Caenorhabditis elegans: one gene and its partners. The protein of the gene in region 1 interacts with the protein of each later gene in a pairwise test. Each region holds a gene or a part of one and is shown in the gene's direction. Other genes may lie near its edges. The genes, in order: zip-11, atf-4, cids-1 and zfp-1.

Evidence for each region.
Region 2: the proteins of zip-11 (region 1) and atf-4 interact in a two-hybrid assay, tested with the Caenorhabditis elegans proteins (one large-scale study listed by BioGRID).
Region 3: the proteins of zip-11 (region 1) and cids-1 interact in a two-hybrid assay, tested with the Caenorhabditis elegans proteins (one large-scale study listed by BioGRID).
Region 4: the proteins of zip-11 (region 1) and zfp-1 interact in a two-hybrid assay, tested with the Caenorhabditis elegans proteins (one large-scale study listed by BioGRID).

The regions. Positions count from the first base shown.
Region 1 is NC_003282.8:3,309,661-3,313,739, forward strand, and holds zip-11 (Transcription factor zip-11), read left to right. Parts: upstream 1-1,615; 5' UTR 1,616-1,907; coding exon 1,908-1,948; intron 1,949-2,504; coding exon 2,505-2,665; intron 2,666-2,731; coding exon 2,732-3,004; intron 3,005-3,053; coding exon 3,054-3,265; 3' UTR 3,266-3,529; downstream 3,530-4,079.
Region 2 is NC_003284.9:14,808,609-14,812,388, reverse strand, and holds atf-4 (Transcription factor atf-4 homolog), read left to right. Parts: upstream 1-1,725; 5' UTR 1,726-1,783; coding exon of another isoform or gene 1,784-1,807; 5' UTR 1,808-1,847; coding exon 1,848-2,120; intron 2,121-2,644; coding exon 2,645-2,920; intron 2,921-2,964; coding exon 2,965-3,042; 3' UTR 3,043-3,233; downstream 3,234-3,780. Other genes in the region: T04C10.3 (Coiled-coil domain-containing protein 96), read right to left, coding at 1-28; T04C10.11 (uncharacterized protein), read left to right, coding at 1,585-1,725, 1,784-1,807. UniProt on the Caenorhabditis elegans protein: Transcription factor.
Region 3 is NC_003281.10:8,242,556-8,246,307, forward strand, and holds cids-1 (CID domain-containing protein 1), read left to right. Parts: upstream 1-1,889; coding exon 1,890-2,027; intron 2,028-2,070; coding exon 2,071-2,204; intron 2,205-2,246; coding exon 2,247-2,430; intron 2,431-2,477; coding exon 2,478-2,722; intron 2,723-2,774; coding exon 2,775-2,922; intron 2,923-2,970; coding exon 2,971-3,069; 3' UTR 3,070-3,239; downstream 3,240-3,752. Other genes in the region: Putative zinc finger protein C02F5.12, read right to left, coding at 231-314; pbs-6 (Proteasome subunit beta type-1), read right to left, coding at 668-784, 833-1,226, 1,272-1,537; putative GTP-binding protein C02F5.3, read left to right, coding at 3,336-3,752.
Region 4 is NC_003281.10:8,796,435-8,801,418, forward strand, and holds the start of zfp-1 (Zinc finger protein zfp-1), read left to right. Parts: upstream 1-1,963; 5' UTR 1,964-2,030; intron 2,031-2,098; 5' UTR 2,099-2,120; coding exon 2,121-2,229; intron 2,230-2,424; coding exon 2,425-2,680; intron 2,681-2,960; coding exon 2,961-3,051; intron 3,052-3,098; exon of another isoform or gene 3,099-3,100; coding exon 3,101-3,211; intron 3,212-4,051; coding exon of another isoform or gene 4,052-4,267; intron 4,268-4,984. Other genes in the region: F54F2.6 (uncharacterized protein), read right to left, coding at 4,052-4,267. UniProt on the Caenorhabditis elegans protein: Recruits the histone methyltransferase dot-1.1 to chromatin to methylate 'Lys-79' of histone H3 and activate transcription. Recognizes and binds histone H3 methylated at 'Lys-4' (H3K4me) at the promoters of target genes.

The DNA.
Region 1 (4,079 bases):
AAGTTACCGAAATTGAAAATTTCCGGCAAATCGGCAAGTTACCGGAATTGAAAATTACCGGCAAATCGGCAAGTTACAGGAATTGAAAGCTTCAGGCAAATCGGCAAGTTACAGGAATTGAAAGCTTCAGGCAAATCGGCAAGTTACAGGAATTGAAAGCTTCAGGCAAATCGGCAAGTTGCCGGAATTGAAAATTTCCGGCAAATCAGCAAGTTACAGAAATTGAAAGCTTCAGGCAAATCGGCAAGTTGCCGGAATTGAAAATTTCCGGCAAATCGGCAAGTTACCGAAATTGAAAATTTCCGGCAAATTGGCAAGCTGCCGGAATTGAAAATTACCGGCAAATCGGCAAGTTACCGGAATTGAAAATTTCCGGCGAATCGGCAAGTTACCGGAATTGAAAATTTCCGGTGAATTGGCAAGTTGCCGAAATTGAAAATTTCCGGCGAATCGGCAAGTTACCGAAATTGAAAATTTCCGGCAAATCGGCAAGTTACCGGAATTGAAAATTACCGGCAAATCGGCAAGTTACAGGAATTGAAAACTTCAGGCAAATCGGCAAGTTACCAGAATTGAAAATTTCCGGCAAATTGACAAGTTACCGGAATTGAAAATTTCCGGCAAATCGGCAAGTTGCCGGAATTGAAAATTTCCGGGAAATCGGCAAGTTACCGGAATTGAAAGCTTCAGGCTAATCGGCAAGCTGCCGGAATTGAAAATAACCGGCAAATCGGCAAGTTACCGAAATTGAAAATTTCCGGGAAATCGGCAAGTTACCGAAATTGAAAATTTCCGGGAAATCGGCAAGTTACCGAAATTGAAGATTTCCGGCAAATCGGCAAGTTACCGAAATTGAAGATTTCCGGCAAATCGGCAAGTTACCGAAATTGAAAATTTCCGGGAAATCGGCAAGTTACCGAAATTGAAGATTTCCGGCAAATCGGCAAGTTACCGAAATTGAAAATTTCCGGCAAATCGGCAAACCGGCACTTTGCCGATTTGCCGGAAAATAAATTTGTAGAACGGTAATTGCCGCCCACCCCTGGTGCATCTCTTGTTGCACTTATAAACAAATAGTACAAATTGACCCTCTATCAATCCCAACAATCTCAATGATCGTTATGCTTGAACTTTTTCCCCTCCGAATTTCGTTACACTTTTCCCTTTGCTTGCTGGTTGATCTTTTCGTTTAGTTAGGCATTTCATTTCATTTAGGCCCTGCTGCCGCTGTGCAAAGGCGTTTCATTACGTTTTACGGCATGCGCCTTCTTTCTAATAAAGTGTCGGCTTATCTGTCTGCCGAGAGGCTTTTCGAGAACAAAGTGCATTTAAGTGCAGCTTATCGCCTTTTCCAAATGTTGCATATTCTACGAAAAACTTTTGGTATACTGATAAGGCGATAAGGCGAGTACCGGTGGACGCTACTCGCGCCAAAAGATACGAAAACCGAAAAACCATGTTCAGTGCCAAATAATTTAGAACACGTACATAAAAAAGAAGATGAAGCGAAAAATGGACAGATTTCCTTGAAAGCCTTCAATTTTTCAGAAAAAAATCGTCTTCTCCGATGACGTGGAATCCTCATCAATCACCTGAACTCTTCTCCTCAAAAGCTGCTGCTGTGTTTTCTTTTCTCTCACCTTTTCTCTTCTTTTTTTTTCTATTTTTCGAAACAAAAATCGGAGGACATCACGGCGCACACTCTGCGGTTCCACACCCCGCGCGCTATCTCACCGCACTGCCTAACCGACCTATCTCTGCGTCTCTCACGCCGGCACGCTCTCTCCGCGCTAAGGCCCGTCACAATCGATAGGCCGCGCTCGCTGTCTAGGCCTTTCATTCTTTCACCCACTCGCGTCTCGTCGTTCGACGCGCCTTCGCTTTTTTAAGGCAATTTTTCGACGAAAATGTGGCCCCCGAATGCAGAGAATAATCACTGCAATTATAGGTTTGTTTTAAAATGGAAATTTGTAATGGAAATTGAAATTGGAATTGATAAATTTTTAGGAAAGCCGAGAAAAATTTAATTTAAAGATTTTTCTATTCAATAATTAATAAAATAAATATGCAAATATCGATTTTCGCGAGAATAAAATATTAAAAATGCAATATATTCCATAAAAAATAGTGTTTTAATTAAAAAATATTCGAAAACCCCTTTTAATTATTGGCTATTTCTCACAATTTATAATATTAGAAGCCGAAAATCGATATTTTTCACAAAAATCAATTTTTTTTTCATTGAAATAATATTTTATTCTTATTTTTGCGATTTTTTCAGGTCTTATGCGGAATTTCAGAATTTTAAATTCCAAACTTAACTACAAAAGTCCGCATTTTCTCGTAAATTGTCGTGCAAGTACGCAAACACCATCAATTAAAAAAAAATTAATTTTTTTTAAAACGTTAAAAAAAAACGTTATAAACCCGTTTTTTGAGTTTAAATTCCAGGAAAATGGGCTATTTCGAATGTAAAAAGCAAAAATATATTAATATAATTTCAGCTACCATGAGCACGCCGAGCTGAACCCCCACGACCACTACCACCACCATCACTACCCGCACTCGTCGGTTCATCACACGGAATGCTATCAGACGCTGTCATGCCCATCGGATCTTCCAGTCGAGACGTCCTACTACAATTCTGTGCCACCATCCTATCAAGGTGATCGATTATTTACAATTTTCTGCCAAATCTGTCTTGAATTTTCAAAAACCAATAAATTTCCAGATCTCGGCCAAACCGATCTCAGCCCTCAATTCTGGTGCGCCGAAGTGGATTGTGTTCACGAACGTTGCTCAACAAAGGAGATTCCACATGAGCAATCGAAGATTTTCGAGGAAATCTCGAAAGAATGCGATCATATTATGAATAGCGCCGGCGACTGCGAGAAATGTCAAGTAGAGCACGAGAATGGTGCTCAAGAAGCGATTCCGATTAATGATCTCGTCGATATTGTAATGCAAACTGTCGATAATTTGAAGAAGGAAGGCTCGTCGAATGGTAGTTTTATTCAGGATTAAAATTAAAATTTAATTATTAAAATTTCCAGATGAAACCAAGCTTCTATCCCGTAAACGCCAGCAAAACAAAGTTGCGGCCGCCCGTTATCGTGACAAGCAGAAGGCGAAATGGCAGGATCTTCTGGATCAGCTCGAAGCCGAGGAGGATCGTAATCAGCGGCTCAAGCTTCAAGCCGGACATCTCGAGAAGGAGGTCGCCGAGATGAGACAGGCCTTCCTCGCCAAACTTGCCAAAAAATGATTCTTATATTATTTATGTCTCCAGCCATTTTCCCCCACATACTTGTATATCAGTTCAACGATATTCTCTGGAAATTATTAGTAGATCAAGCAACTCGGCAGATTTGGCTACCTGGCGCACACACGTGATGCGCATGGCGCGCGCTCGCAGCTCGCTAGTTATTTGGTATCAAGCGCCAGACGCGTTCTCTGCGCGCACCAGTTGCATTTCCATTATGTATTATCATTGTTATTTTTATATTAATAAACGAATTTTTAATAATAACACGCGTTTTTCAATAATCAAATGTGAGATTATACGATTTAGGGAACTTCAGGGCTCTAAAACTTGAAAAAATTGGCCAAAATCGAGAAACATTGCGAAAAACTGTTTAAAGTATCGATTTTCTTCAATATCAGCAACATACAATTCTTTAAAATGATTATTTTTTGTAAATTCGATAAAAATTAATTTATTTTTCACAATTTCTGCCCGAAAATTGCCGAAATGACCAGCGTTTCTAGAACTAAAACAAGTGTCGTCAATTAAAATGCCGCGTCCGCAAAATGTCGTACGAAACTTTTCGCTGAGTATCAAACGTTGAATATTCAGTCAGCCAAATTTTACTACGGTAGAGATTTTACAGCCACGTACGGTTCGCCGGGCCGTGTTAGTGCAATAACAACTTTTCGGAATGTGTGTTTGCACGAAAATGGGCGGGGTTTGTTGTTTACGTTGTTTACCGTATTGAAAAGGCGCGGTATTTCAAAAAATAGATTAGCGAGAGTTTTGAAAATCACAATTTTCCGATCGAATTTTTCATTCTTACTCAATT
Region 2 (3,780 bases), on another chromosome or scaffold:
TTTTGAGCATGCTGTTCAAGCACGGCATGATTTATAACGGAAGTTCAGTCGGGTGGAATGAAATTCTCAAGTTGAAATTTCTAACAAAAACGAGTTTGATCCAAATACGCAAAATTTTGTTGAATTTTGGAGTTTATTTAAGGTGATTGAAGAAGAAGACGCAGAGCCATACTGAAGACGTGGAGAAATCTGCAAACACTGCTCTTGACGACTCTTTGCATCTCAATGAACCTAATTCAAAAATTCAAAAAATCTCGGACAACTTTGACTGCACATTAAGGTGAATAACGTTTCGGACTAGAATTTTTAGTTGAAACATATTTCAGAAAAAGATCAAGCCTCGTGGAGAGCACCTATCGTTAACTGACGAAAGTTTTACCGTGAAGATGGAGGTGACACGTTATCTCTCCACTGCAGTAGAAACTATCAGTCCGAGAGATTTTTGGGTAAATTCTGTGACCAAATCATCATATCCACGCCTCTCCAAATTTGCTCGACGCTTTATCATCTGTCCAACTGGCTCAAGTGAAGCTGAGAAACTGTGTTCAACAGCCGACACGAGTCTTACTAAATACCGAAAAGCTTTGTCACCTGAGAATTTAAAATGCTCCTATTTTTGAGCAAAAATATTCGTCTAATGAATACTATTGATGAGCCAGAAGGCTACTTGGTTGACTGAAATTATTGATTTATTTTCTTTAATTTCTAACATGTTGTTTTGTTTAAACAGTTTTTTCTGATGTTTTTGTTGTCGGTTTTCAATAAACTGTTCATTTTTCAATAAAAATTAGTTGAAACAGAAAAATAACACAAATTTGAAGAAAAATATCCGAAATATCCAAATTGTCCGAAAAATATCCGATTCAAAAAAATTATTTTATTCGAAACAGCGAACTAAAGGATTAAAGGATTAAAAGACGATCCGTTCTTCAAGTGCTATGCTCTGCGGAACTGGGATTCAGGTAAACTGACTGGTGGTGATCTCACTGGGCTATAATTTAAGCCACATCCTAGCCTGGGACTGTGGCCGATAATCCTGTAGTGGATTGCTCCACTCTCCAATAGAGGCTGGTTAAACCTAGGGGGTCTTGAACTTCAACTCGTGATCTCCAGATTGTTAGCGGCGACCACTACCGACTGAGCTATCTGTCGCTAAAAATCTAAAATAACCGATATCCGAAATAGCGAATATCGGGAAATTTAGATAAGAAAGTTTAGAGAAGCCCTACCTTAATTATACCTAACTGTAAGAAAACACTCTGGGAGCTTTTTGAATTACTTACACATTTTATTAAAAATTAATCTGAAACTTTTTTCAATCCAAAGATCAGCTTAACGTCTTTGATATTTGAATTTCCTCCACTAATCCACATCGATTGATGACGTACGAGACCGCGAGAGATGCAGATAGCACGCGACAGCCCTGATAAACTAAGAGAAATAGTATAAGAAACGGGTGCGATCAGAGAACATACAAAAAATATCGAGCAAACGCCGGAGGTGGAAAAGATTGGGGGCAGCCAAACTACACCAAGCGCTAGTCGTCTCCCTTTCCTCTTCTGTCATTTCACAATCAACACATCACTGGACACATACAGCCACTTTCTCGCAGAAACATCTCATCTGAAAATTATGAACTTCAACATGAACTATAGCACCGAACCGTCTCAATACCAATCTTACGTCATCGCGAACGCTCCTTCCGCCACAGCGCCAATTTGTACAGTAAGTTCATTTAACTTTTAATTGATTAATAATTAGTTTAAACAATGATCCTTTCCAGGAAATCACGTGCTGTGTTTGTTGAGCCTACGGGTCATGCATACGGACAAAATGATTACCAACAAATGGCTTATGTAAATGAACAAAATCCACAGTTCTTGCTTTATAATGGGATGCACAATCAAACCCATTCCACCCCACAATATCATAACCATCATCATCATCACCATCAATCTCCGACATATCCTCAATCATATTTCAACCCCTACTCCCATCAATCTTATCAACAGCATCATTTGAACTCCGATGTCAACTTCCAAATGGTTCCACAAAGCACTTCGGTTCCACCAGATCCGTTTTGCTCAATTGAGCCAATGGAGACTAATGTACAAGCAAAAGTGAGTTGATAGTTCAGAAATTGCGCTCAGGAAATTTCACAAAAACAATTGCACGAAAATTCTGACATGGAAACTGTCTGTCTACTTGATAACGGAGAACCAATCGGGTTGAGAGATCAAAAATGATCTGCGGGAAGACTATGTTAAGGAAATATAGTTAGGTTGAGAAGCAACGGTGGTTTCACGTGAAATTCATGTGATTCAAAGCTATAAGGAAGAGGAAATGTTGTGTATGCTTTTGGTGTCAACGAATGCAAATATTTTAGTAAATGAAACCGATACGTTGCTTCTGGTAAAGTAACATTGAATAATGAACATTTGACTTTGAAAGGGGTAAAATTCAAATAAAACAACCTCCTAGCTTTTTAACTTTAGGGGTTACAATTATCTGCTTTTGCAGAAGTTTTTGAGTTGCAATCCTCTGGAAGTCTTTTGAAATTTGACTGAAACTTTAAAAAAACAATTCGGTATATCCGGAATTTTACATCTAAACATATGAAAAACTCACAAAAATGTTATTTCAGGAACAAATTCTCGAAGAAATCGTGCGCGAGTGCGAAGAAATCGAGCGTCGTTCCAACTCGAGCGCGTCTCCAGCCTCAAATTGGTCTTCAGATGAACATGACTCTCAATCCGAAAAATCTTACCACCCATACAAAACCCCAGAAAAGAAGGAACGAAAGAAGGCTCAAAACCGTCTCGCAGCTACCAGATACCGTGAAAAGAAGCGTCGTGAAAAGGAAGAGGCTATGACTTGCATTGAAGGTCTTAGTGTCACCAATGGCAAGCTGAAGGATCAGGTTTGTAAATTATGAAGAATTTTGAGGATTAGCTTTTTTTCCAGGTATCCGAGTTGGAGCGTGAAATTCGTTACTTCAAAAAGTTCATGACCGAGATGGGAATGAAAACTGTCACCGACTAAACCTCAATTTTTAATGTTTTTTACTCCGTTTGAAAGTTCAACTCATTTTATTATTATTAATATTTTCTAAACTTCATCCTTCCCTTATATTGTACGAATTGTGGATTTTTTAAAATTTCATACGCCAATGGTATTATTCTGTTCGTTTGCATGATATTAACCTTACTCTTCAAATAAAAAAGTATCTGAAACCGATAGATCTATAACTTATCACCAACACTTATAGTTGGTTGTAGTCAAATTGTAGCTTCTTGTTTTGTCATCATTTTTCATTTATTTTGTCATCATGACTACTAGTGAACTTGAAGCGCACGTCATTATTCCAACACTGGCGACAAACTCATATTTTAGCTAAAAACAATTAGGAGTGAGTGGAAAAACAAAAGTATATCGGGGGGAATCGGACAAGTCAATTTGAAATTTGGTTAGTGAAACTTTTCGAGTGGATCAGACTCTTTTAGATAGGAAAGTGTTTAGAAAATTCAAAAATATTTATTTCATCCGAAAATGTACGCTTTTAAAAAATATTGGTTTCATCCAAAAATATACGTTTTTCAAAATTATTTATGCTCCGAAAATGTACCGCAACTAAATTGAAAAAAAAAAATTTTCCGCAGCGAAATTTTCCGCGACGATATTTTGCCACGACAAACTTTTTCCGCCTCAAAGTTTTCAGCATCGAAATTTTTCCGGAGCATCGAAATGGCGCGGAAACGGTAAGTCAAACTTCAATATATA
Region 3 (3,752 bases), on another chromosome or scaffold:
AACACATTAGCTTAAAAGTACTATTCCTAATTTAGAGTTGTTTCCTACAGTAATATCATTCCAAAATTACAATTTTATAAAATACAGTATTTATGATTTTTGATCGACCATTACATAAAGAATAACCTGTCATATTATTTTTATTGCCAAAATAATTATTACTCAAGTTTTTCTAATCTCGGGAATATTTATATAATTAGAAGCTAAATGTTGCCAAAAGCTTGACCTACCAAAATAGATTGCAAATCGAGTCCTCGCATTTTGAGAACTTCCAAAGTTTGATTGTAGATGTTAACTTGAATATAAGTTGACATTTTTCAGTAAATACCAACTTGTCGAGTTGCAAAGCAGGAATGAATCAATGACACAGCTGGGCAGACCACAAAGTAAGAGACTCGAAACGCAGACGGTTCTAAGCAGCGCCGACTCACTCCTTCTTTTGCATTATATCTTGTGTCTCACTCGTGCGTTCTTGCCCTGTGTGTTTTCGCTCTCTGCATTTTTCTCTCTATTTTGTAGTTTGCGTTGGACGCCGAAATGTAGTCATGTTGTAGACTACAACATATAAGTGGAGGAATATTTATCAGATTACCGGGATGGTAAAACAATTTCAGAGGGGAAGAGGATACGAATAAGTTAAAATAAAATGAGATAGATACTGCAATAATTAATCCTCACGAAGTGGCAGGAACTTTACGACGACTGGCTTTCCGGCTTCAGCGATGACCAAGTGAATTTTGTCTCCAGTAGAGATTTCACGCTCAGCAGCACCACGGAACGAATCCTAGAAAAAATAAATGAATTAGGTTAAAATTACGAAATTCAATTATACCTTCATCAATGAGATGGCTCTGTCCAATGTGAGTTCCGGACGCTCATATCCTTCAGAGAGCGTAACGTGCCCGATTTGACAATCCAAGAATGGAATGATCATTGGTTCAGCGGCTCCACTGGCTGAGTATCCAAGACGCTCGATACATCCGATTGGGTCGTAACTGAACACGGCCCCTTTTCCGTGCTCGTCAATTCCGGCAAGAATAGCTCCAGTGTAGTATGGGAAGAACCGACGGTAATAGAGGTTGCGGGAGAGAAGTTCTGCGCAAAGATCCACAGACATGTCAGAGCGATAATCGAAGCGGTACTTGTGGAGACGAGATTGGAGAACTTTCTTCAATTGGAGGACATCTCCATAGAATCCAGAGGTGGTGAGGATGATGTTATCATTCCTGAATTAAGAATTATTATTAAAACAAAGACAAATACTGGCTTACAAAATTTGAATCTTCTCTGCGTCACGTGTAAGAATGTTGATGTCGTTTTGGGTCATTCTAGTATCACTTGCCACGATGGCAAAGTTCTCCCCAGAAATGGCACAGGTTGATCCTCCCTCCATTGAATACGGGTTCCAGCGTTGACGCTCAATTTGTCTGGAACTCATCCACTCTGGATGAGCTGCAACTTCCTTCATTGCCTGCTTGAACATTGCCATTTCATTGGTGGCGTTGGCGACAGCCGTGATTCCAGTGAAGCTTGTCATCTGAAAAAGGCGTATACTTATTTAGTTGAAACAATATAAATATTCAATATGACAAAATTCAATTAATACAGAAAACAAATGCTCGAAATTTGAGAATTCAACATAACAGGAAATGCTGACAATGAGAGACATCGTCATTTACAATGTTTAGTCCGCAGTTTTCTGCGCGTTCAAATGCACATCGCACATCGAACTATACGACACTTTGCTGAAATTTATTGAAACGCGTTTTCCTCTCTTTTTTGAATGAAAATTCATTTTTCCAAGGTATTTTTGAGGACAATTCATCGCTTTATCTACATTTCTGATTAAAATTTTTGTGATTTCTTTTTTTCAATAATTGATATTTCAGATGGCAGATTTCACAGAGCAAACTTTGCGACAGAAGTTAACAAATTTATCAAACCACCCTTCCTCAATTCAGACGACTTCTGCCTGGCTTTTGCAAAATCATAGCAATCGGGAATTGATCATTCGAGTTTGGCTAAAGGTATTTTATTCATATTGTATCATTTTTTAGTGTTGTATTTCAGACAGTAAAGAAAGAAACACACGGCTCAAAAATTGTAAATCTTCTTTATGTGGCGAATGATGTAAGCCAAAATGCGAGAAAGACTTGCCCACAATTCAAGGACGAATTTTTTCCCGCAATAGAAAGTTCTTTCAGGTATTGGCATTTTCAAACGTCTAATCTCAAAATTAATTTCAGGCATGCAATCGAGTTGAAAAATGCAAAAGAAGTGGAACATGCAATTGGTAAACTGATCAATGTATGGAAAGATCGTCAGATATTCACTCCATCACAATGCAAACGGCTTCATGAAGTTCATCAACAAGTTAAGCTATCTGGAAGCTTCCCAACACCCGCAGTTGCGAACAAGGAACATGGAAAGGTGTGTGAATTTAATAAATTCCAAAAGAATGCCAAAATGAGCTTAAGGTCGCTCAACCTAGTCAGTTCGTCGTTGAAGAAGCGAAAAAGAATGCACAAGATGTTTTGCTCAGTTTGAAGCGCCTTCAAAACCCGCCGAGCACGGAAAGAGAAATTCGCACAGAACTTTCAAAATATCCGGATAATATTTCGTGCCCAGAAAAGTTGCAGTCAGTTCGAAGTTCGCAAGAAGCACAGTCTCTGTTGGTCCAAAATGAAGAAGCTCTTCCGATGCTGGAGGAATATGTTAAAAGGTTTGATTGAAACTTTTGTGAATTGATTTTGTACATTAACTTATGCTTTCAGGCTGAAAAACGAGACAAATGAACGCGAAACTCTCGAATCGAACTTGAATATGCTTATAGAAAATGTTAGAATGAGCATTGAACATCACGAGAAATTGTGCAGAGAAGTTAAGCGTAGAGAAGATCGAATCAAGGCAGATTTGTTAGAGGTTTGAAAACTAGAAAATCAGTTTTTGCAGACTTGAATTGAATTTCAGGTTGAAAAAACATTCGAATCGTTGCCAGATTTGGCTGCTGAGATGCCAAATGCACCATTGCCAACACTTGAAGCTTTGTTCGAGAAGAGGAAAAAATAAGTATCATACTACGTCATAATTATAACTTTACGATCTCAGTAGCTTTTACTGTACCCCCATTGTTGTATAATTTTTGTTCACTTTGATCTTTTACAATCGTGATCACCATTACCACATAAGTGCTTTATACGTTTTTCTTCTGAACCACCTTAAATGAATTTATTTTTTCTAAAATTCAAGTTAGTTCTATTATCTGAAAACGGTTCTTAACCAGTGTTTATCTCTGAAAGTTTGAAATTAATTGTTTAAAAGCTGATATTTTACAGATGGGTATTCTGGAGAAAATTGCAGAAATCGAACATGAAATTTCAAGAACCCAAAAGAATAAAGCCACTGAATACCATTTGGGTCTTCTAAAAGCAAAGTTGGCAAAATATCGTCAACAATTGTTAGAACCAACAGGCAAAGGAGGTGCCAAAGGAGAAGGATTCGATGTAATGAAAAGTGGAGATGCGAGAGTTGCAATGGTTGGATTTCCTTCCGTCGGAAAATCGACTCTATTGTCCTCAATGACTTCCACTCACTCAGAAGCTGCTGGATATGAATTCACAACTCTTACGTGCATTCCTGGTGTCATCTCTTACAACGGAGCCAATATTCAATTGCTCGATCTTCCTGGAATCATTGAAGGAGCTTCTCAGGGAAAAGGAAGAGGAAGACAGGTTATCTCAGTTGCAAAAACT
Region 4 (4,984 bases), on another chromosome or scaffold:
TGACACTTATTGTCATTATGAACACCTTTTAGATATCTTCAGTGAGGAAATTGTCGGAAAATTAATATAATTTCTATGGTTTTTCATTATTAATTTTTATAGTCAAATTTAGAAAACAAATCCTCGATAAAATTTATTTATTTATTTTTGATTCATCAAAAAAGAATTTTTAGCCTTGAAAAATGTTTAAAAACCAGTGAAGTTCTATTAATAAATTCTCTTGCTTCTTAAATTTTTTTTTTTAATTTTAAAAACTTTTTGTTAAAGATGTTAATTTTCTGTAGAAATTTTTATTTCACACAATAACCATTAGTTAAATTAAATTTATAACTGTTCCCCAAGTGGTTTTAAAAAATCAATAAAATGATTTCTTGACTATCGTAATCCTTCGTGACCCCTCTGTAGAGATTTTCTTGTGTTATGCAAGTACCCCATCGTAAATTTTCTTTTCTCGATACCCGAAGTATATCCGATCACATCTGTGTCTATGATGATACTGATTACTTTTCCATTTATATTTATCACCTTGACCGTTAATTTTCAATATTTAATTTTTCAATGACAATACAATGTTAATTTTTATAAGGTTATGTGGTAGAAAATGTTAGGCGAGGTTTAGAGAAAAATATAAAAGTTTATTAACTTTATTTCGCCCTTGGACGATTTTTTAAGCATCCAAATGACTCTTTTCATTTAAATTTTTATATTTTCCGATCCGTATATTATTTTCTTTTCAACTAATTTTATTAAAACATACGGCTATATGAAATAAAGCACTGGAACGCAGAAAGTTAGAGAGAAAAGGAGCAAAGCTTCCCCTTCTTGTTTGTATGTATGTGCTCCTTGTGTGCATGTGACATAGAAGAGCCGACGTCGCTGCGCCCCTGTGAGAATTCATGCATGCTTGGCACGATGCCAAGTTGTATGTGTCTATCTTCACCTCCTTTTTCTTCTTCTTCTCGATTGCTTCTCCCTCTCTTCCAAACGAGAACGTGATGTCGGTCTCTCCTACTGTAGGCTACTAGTTGTCTGTGTCTAATACTCTCTCATTGTCAAAGACTTCAAATCGGGAAGATTGTGATGGTGGTTTGGTGACGAGAGAGAGATAGAGAGAGAGAGAGAAAGACACTGACGATGTCGTCGTTATCAGTGTATTTCTTCTTCTTCCTTTTCTTCCATACACAATCTGTAATTCTCTGTCGTTCTCTCAATTTGATTATCACTATTAAATGTATATTCATTCATTCACGCCCATAACTTTTTTGACTTGACTGAATCGAAAATCGAATCGATGGCCGCTCCCCGATAATAAGAAGGAGAGAGAAAAGAGAGACGCTGCAAAAATTTTTTGTCTTTGAATGACCTCTATTCGTCGTATTGATTGACTGCTGCCGTTTGTCTTTTGTGACGAAATTTTGTACAGTTCCATTTTCTTTTATTTCAAAAATTGAGAGAAAAATATCTAATGCTCGGCGTTAAATTTTCAATGAAAAATTTGTTCACTCAAATTGGCCCGAAAAGTCCGAAATTCATAACGAAACTTTTCAATAATTCCTCAAACTTTTTTATAGCAGTTTTACCTAAAATTCTAAATTTTGAAGAATTAGCCTTTATGCAAAATTTTGAATGGCCATAAAAGATTTTTCAATGAATTTCTGAAGAGTTTCGTAATTTGATATTTGATATTTTCAAATGGATTTTTAGTGTATTTTATAAAGCAAAACATTCTTCAATTTATTTTGTTTTCCGAATCTAATATTTAAATATCTCTATGAAACTTTAATACTATTTTTGATACGCATTCAATTATAGATAATTGTTAAACGTTCTTTTTTCTCCGAAATTAGGTTATTTCTATTTGTTCTGTTTCTTTATTTGTCGCTCGGCCATAATAAATCAATAATTTACGGCAATATACCTCTAATCTCCCCTTTTCTGCGTAATTTTTACCGAATTTTTACAGCACATCACCATACAAATGAGCCACGCCTGACCTCTTGACCAGCTACAGTAACCCAAAAAAAATTATCGTAAGTTTTTTCGAATTTTTGTGGAAAATTTGTGAATTGTATTCTCAAATGGATAATTATTTTTACAGAGTCCCCCGAAATTGCTGAAAAATGAAGGAGATGGTAGGTGGATGCTGCGTTTGTGCAGATGAGAATGGTTGGACAGACAATCCATTGATCTATTGTGATGGAGAGAATTGTGAAGTTGCAGTACATCAGGGTGAGTAGAAGTTCACAGAAATTGAAAAATTTTAGTATTTTTCCCGATATTTCGAAAAAAAATCCAACGTTTCCAAGCATTGTTTGAAGTTTTGCTTTTTTCCATCTTATTAGATGAATTTGATTTTTTTTTTTCGATTTTCTCTCAAAAAACCAAATTTTCCGATTAGGCCCCACCGAATTTTTATCATTTCAGGATGTTATGGAATTCAAGAAGTACCCGAAGGCGAATGGTTTTGTGCAAAATGTACGAAAGCATCAGCTATGATGCCCGGCAGTATAAATGAGGCAACATTTTGTTGTCAATTGTGTCCGTTTGACTATGGAGCATTGAAAAAAACTGATCGAAACGGATGGGCTCATGTAATTTGTGCACTTTACATTCCAGAAGTGCGATTTGGGAACGTACATAGTATGGAACCAGTCATATTAAATGATGTACCAACTGATAAGTAAGTTTTTCTCAAGAATATGGGTAATTCAATATGAAAAATGTGTCTGATCAAGGGTGAATATTTTTTGAGTTTTCGACTTTCGATTTTTTGACTCTCTGGAAAATCTCAAATTTTAAAAATTTCCGGTACATTTCTGAACCGAAATTTTTTTTCCAGTTTTTCGATTTTTCGACTTTCAAAAAAAAAACAACAACAAAAAATCTAAACATTTTAAACTCTTTCTTTGAAAAAATCTTGAAGTTTTATTACTATCTCGATCAATTTATATATTTTATAGATTCAATAAACTGTGCTACATCTGCAATGAAGAACGTCCAAATGATGCGAAAAAAGGTGCATGTATGTCGTGTAACAAGTCGACGTGCAAGGTATTTTTATTTTTCTTTAAATTTCTTGTAATTTAAACGAAATTTTCAGAGGAGCTTTCACGTAACCTGTGCTCAGCGGAAAGGACTTTTATGTGAAGAAGGGGCAATAAGTCGGAATGTCAAGTATTGTGGTTATTGTGAAAATCATTTGAAGAAAGCGGTATGTTTATTGAAGATTTATGCGCTAAAAATTGAGAAAAAAGTATTAAAATCGATTTCTTAATATTTTAAGAAAATCAGGCCAGATTATCACTTGGTTTTTCATAGAAGTGAAAATAAAAATAGAACTACAGTACCCATCAATTTCAAATATTTAATCCCTAGTCATACTGGTGCTGTGAAGGTCCGATGCTTGATAGACCAGGTGGATAGACACCTGTCTCTTGAAAAACTAGAGATTGTACGGAGTATTAGAGATTCAGAGAAGTAAAAATATGAATACAATCGTGTGTGCCCGCTTCTTCTCTGCATCTCTTCTCAGGATACTCTATTTCTGAGTCACAGCATTGGGACCCTGGAATAGCAACACAGCCATTGCGCTTCACTCTTAGAGTGAAAGAGATAGAGATGGAGAAAGAGACGTCCTCCGTCCTGTTTTCATATCTGCGTCTAAAATCTCTTTATCCTGAGAAAAAGAAACCGAAAGAGAGGTTGAGAGAGAGAGGGAGACATTGTCGAAGGAGGTCCGCGTGCTTCCACATACACATACACACACCATCCATTCAACACAACACACTTGAGAAGATGGAATAGACGAGAGAAGAGAGTACAGACGTTTAGACGAAATGAAATGGGTTGGGCCAACGGCTGGCTGGATGGATGGCTGACTGAGTGTGACAACGACAAATAGTGCTCGGGGGGGGGGGGGGCACTGAGAGAGATAGACGAAGAACTCGGAGAGACATAGACACAAAAAGGAACAAATTGCTGTCGGGCCAAGCGAGTTTGGAAGAGAAAGAGACGTGCATAGAGTGTCTCTCTCTCTCTCAATTTCATAAGCTTAGATGATTCTCTGCGTCTGCTCTTCGCCGCCCCTTCTGGACTTCTTTTTCTCGGGTGGCCCCCGGCGGCCGTTGTTTCGTCTGCGCTTCTTATTTTCCTCTTTATCGTCATCGTCGTATTCCTCGCTTTGTCCTGCTTTTTCGTTTTCTCCGTCCGTACGCACACATACATACACACGCACATAGTGAGGCAACATCATTCTCTTGTGCTTCATTTGGTTCTTCTTCGACGAATACTCGATAGATTTGAATATAGTCGTCGCCACGTCATACTCTACATTTTCCTGCTACATCATCCTTGCATCTCCCCACTTTCTCACTTGTTACGGTTTTTGCTTAACTCTCTACGTCTCTACTCACTCTCTCACCTACTTTCCTCTTCTCGTTGTGTTTGATGTCACCTTTCTCATCGTCTTCCGTCAATGGAGTTTTTTTGTCGCCAAAGAGAGACATTCACTCATTTTCTCTTCCGTCTCCCTGAAGTAGTTCTATGTTCTTTTTTTTTTTTTTCTAGACTTTGTCATTTAACATTTTTGTTTTACATTTTGGTACATTCACAGAATTATTTCTAAATCTAAATTAAACTTTTGATCTTGAAAGTAGGCCTATCATATAGGCCTCACCGCCTGCCTGCCTCACCTTAAGACGATCTTCGCCTGTTTCCAACTAAGTTGAATGTCTTGATTGTTCTCGGGGGTTGTCAAATTTTTGATGTTATTCTAATTCACCTAATTTAAATTAAACGGTAACAAATATCATAAAACCCTTTAGTTTTTTTTGAAAAAGTCTAATAATCTTTATTAGTTCTTTTTACTAATGAGGACGCTGCAAATTTTTGTTTTTTTTTTCAAAATTCAGCACAAACTTTTCCAAAACACTGAGCAATGTTTTGTTCCGTCTCTTTTCAATATCTAAGTCTCCCTTTAGCTGGT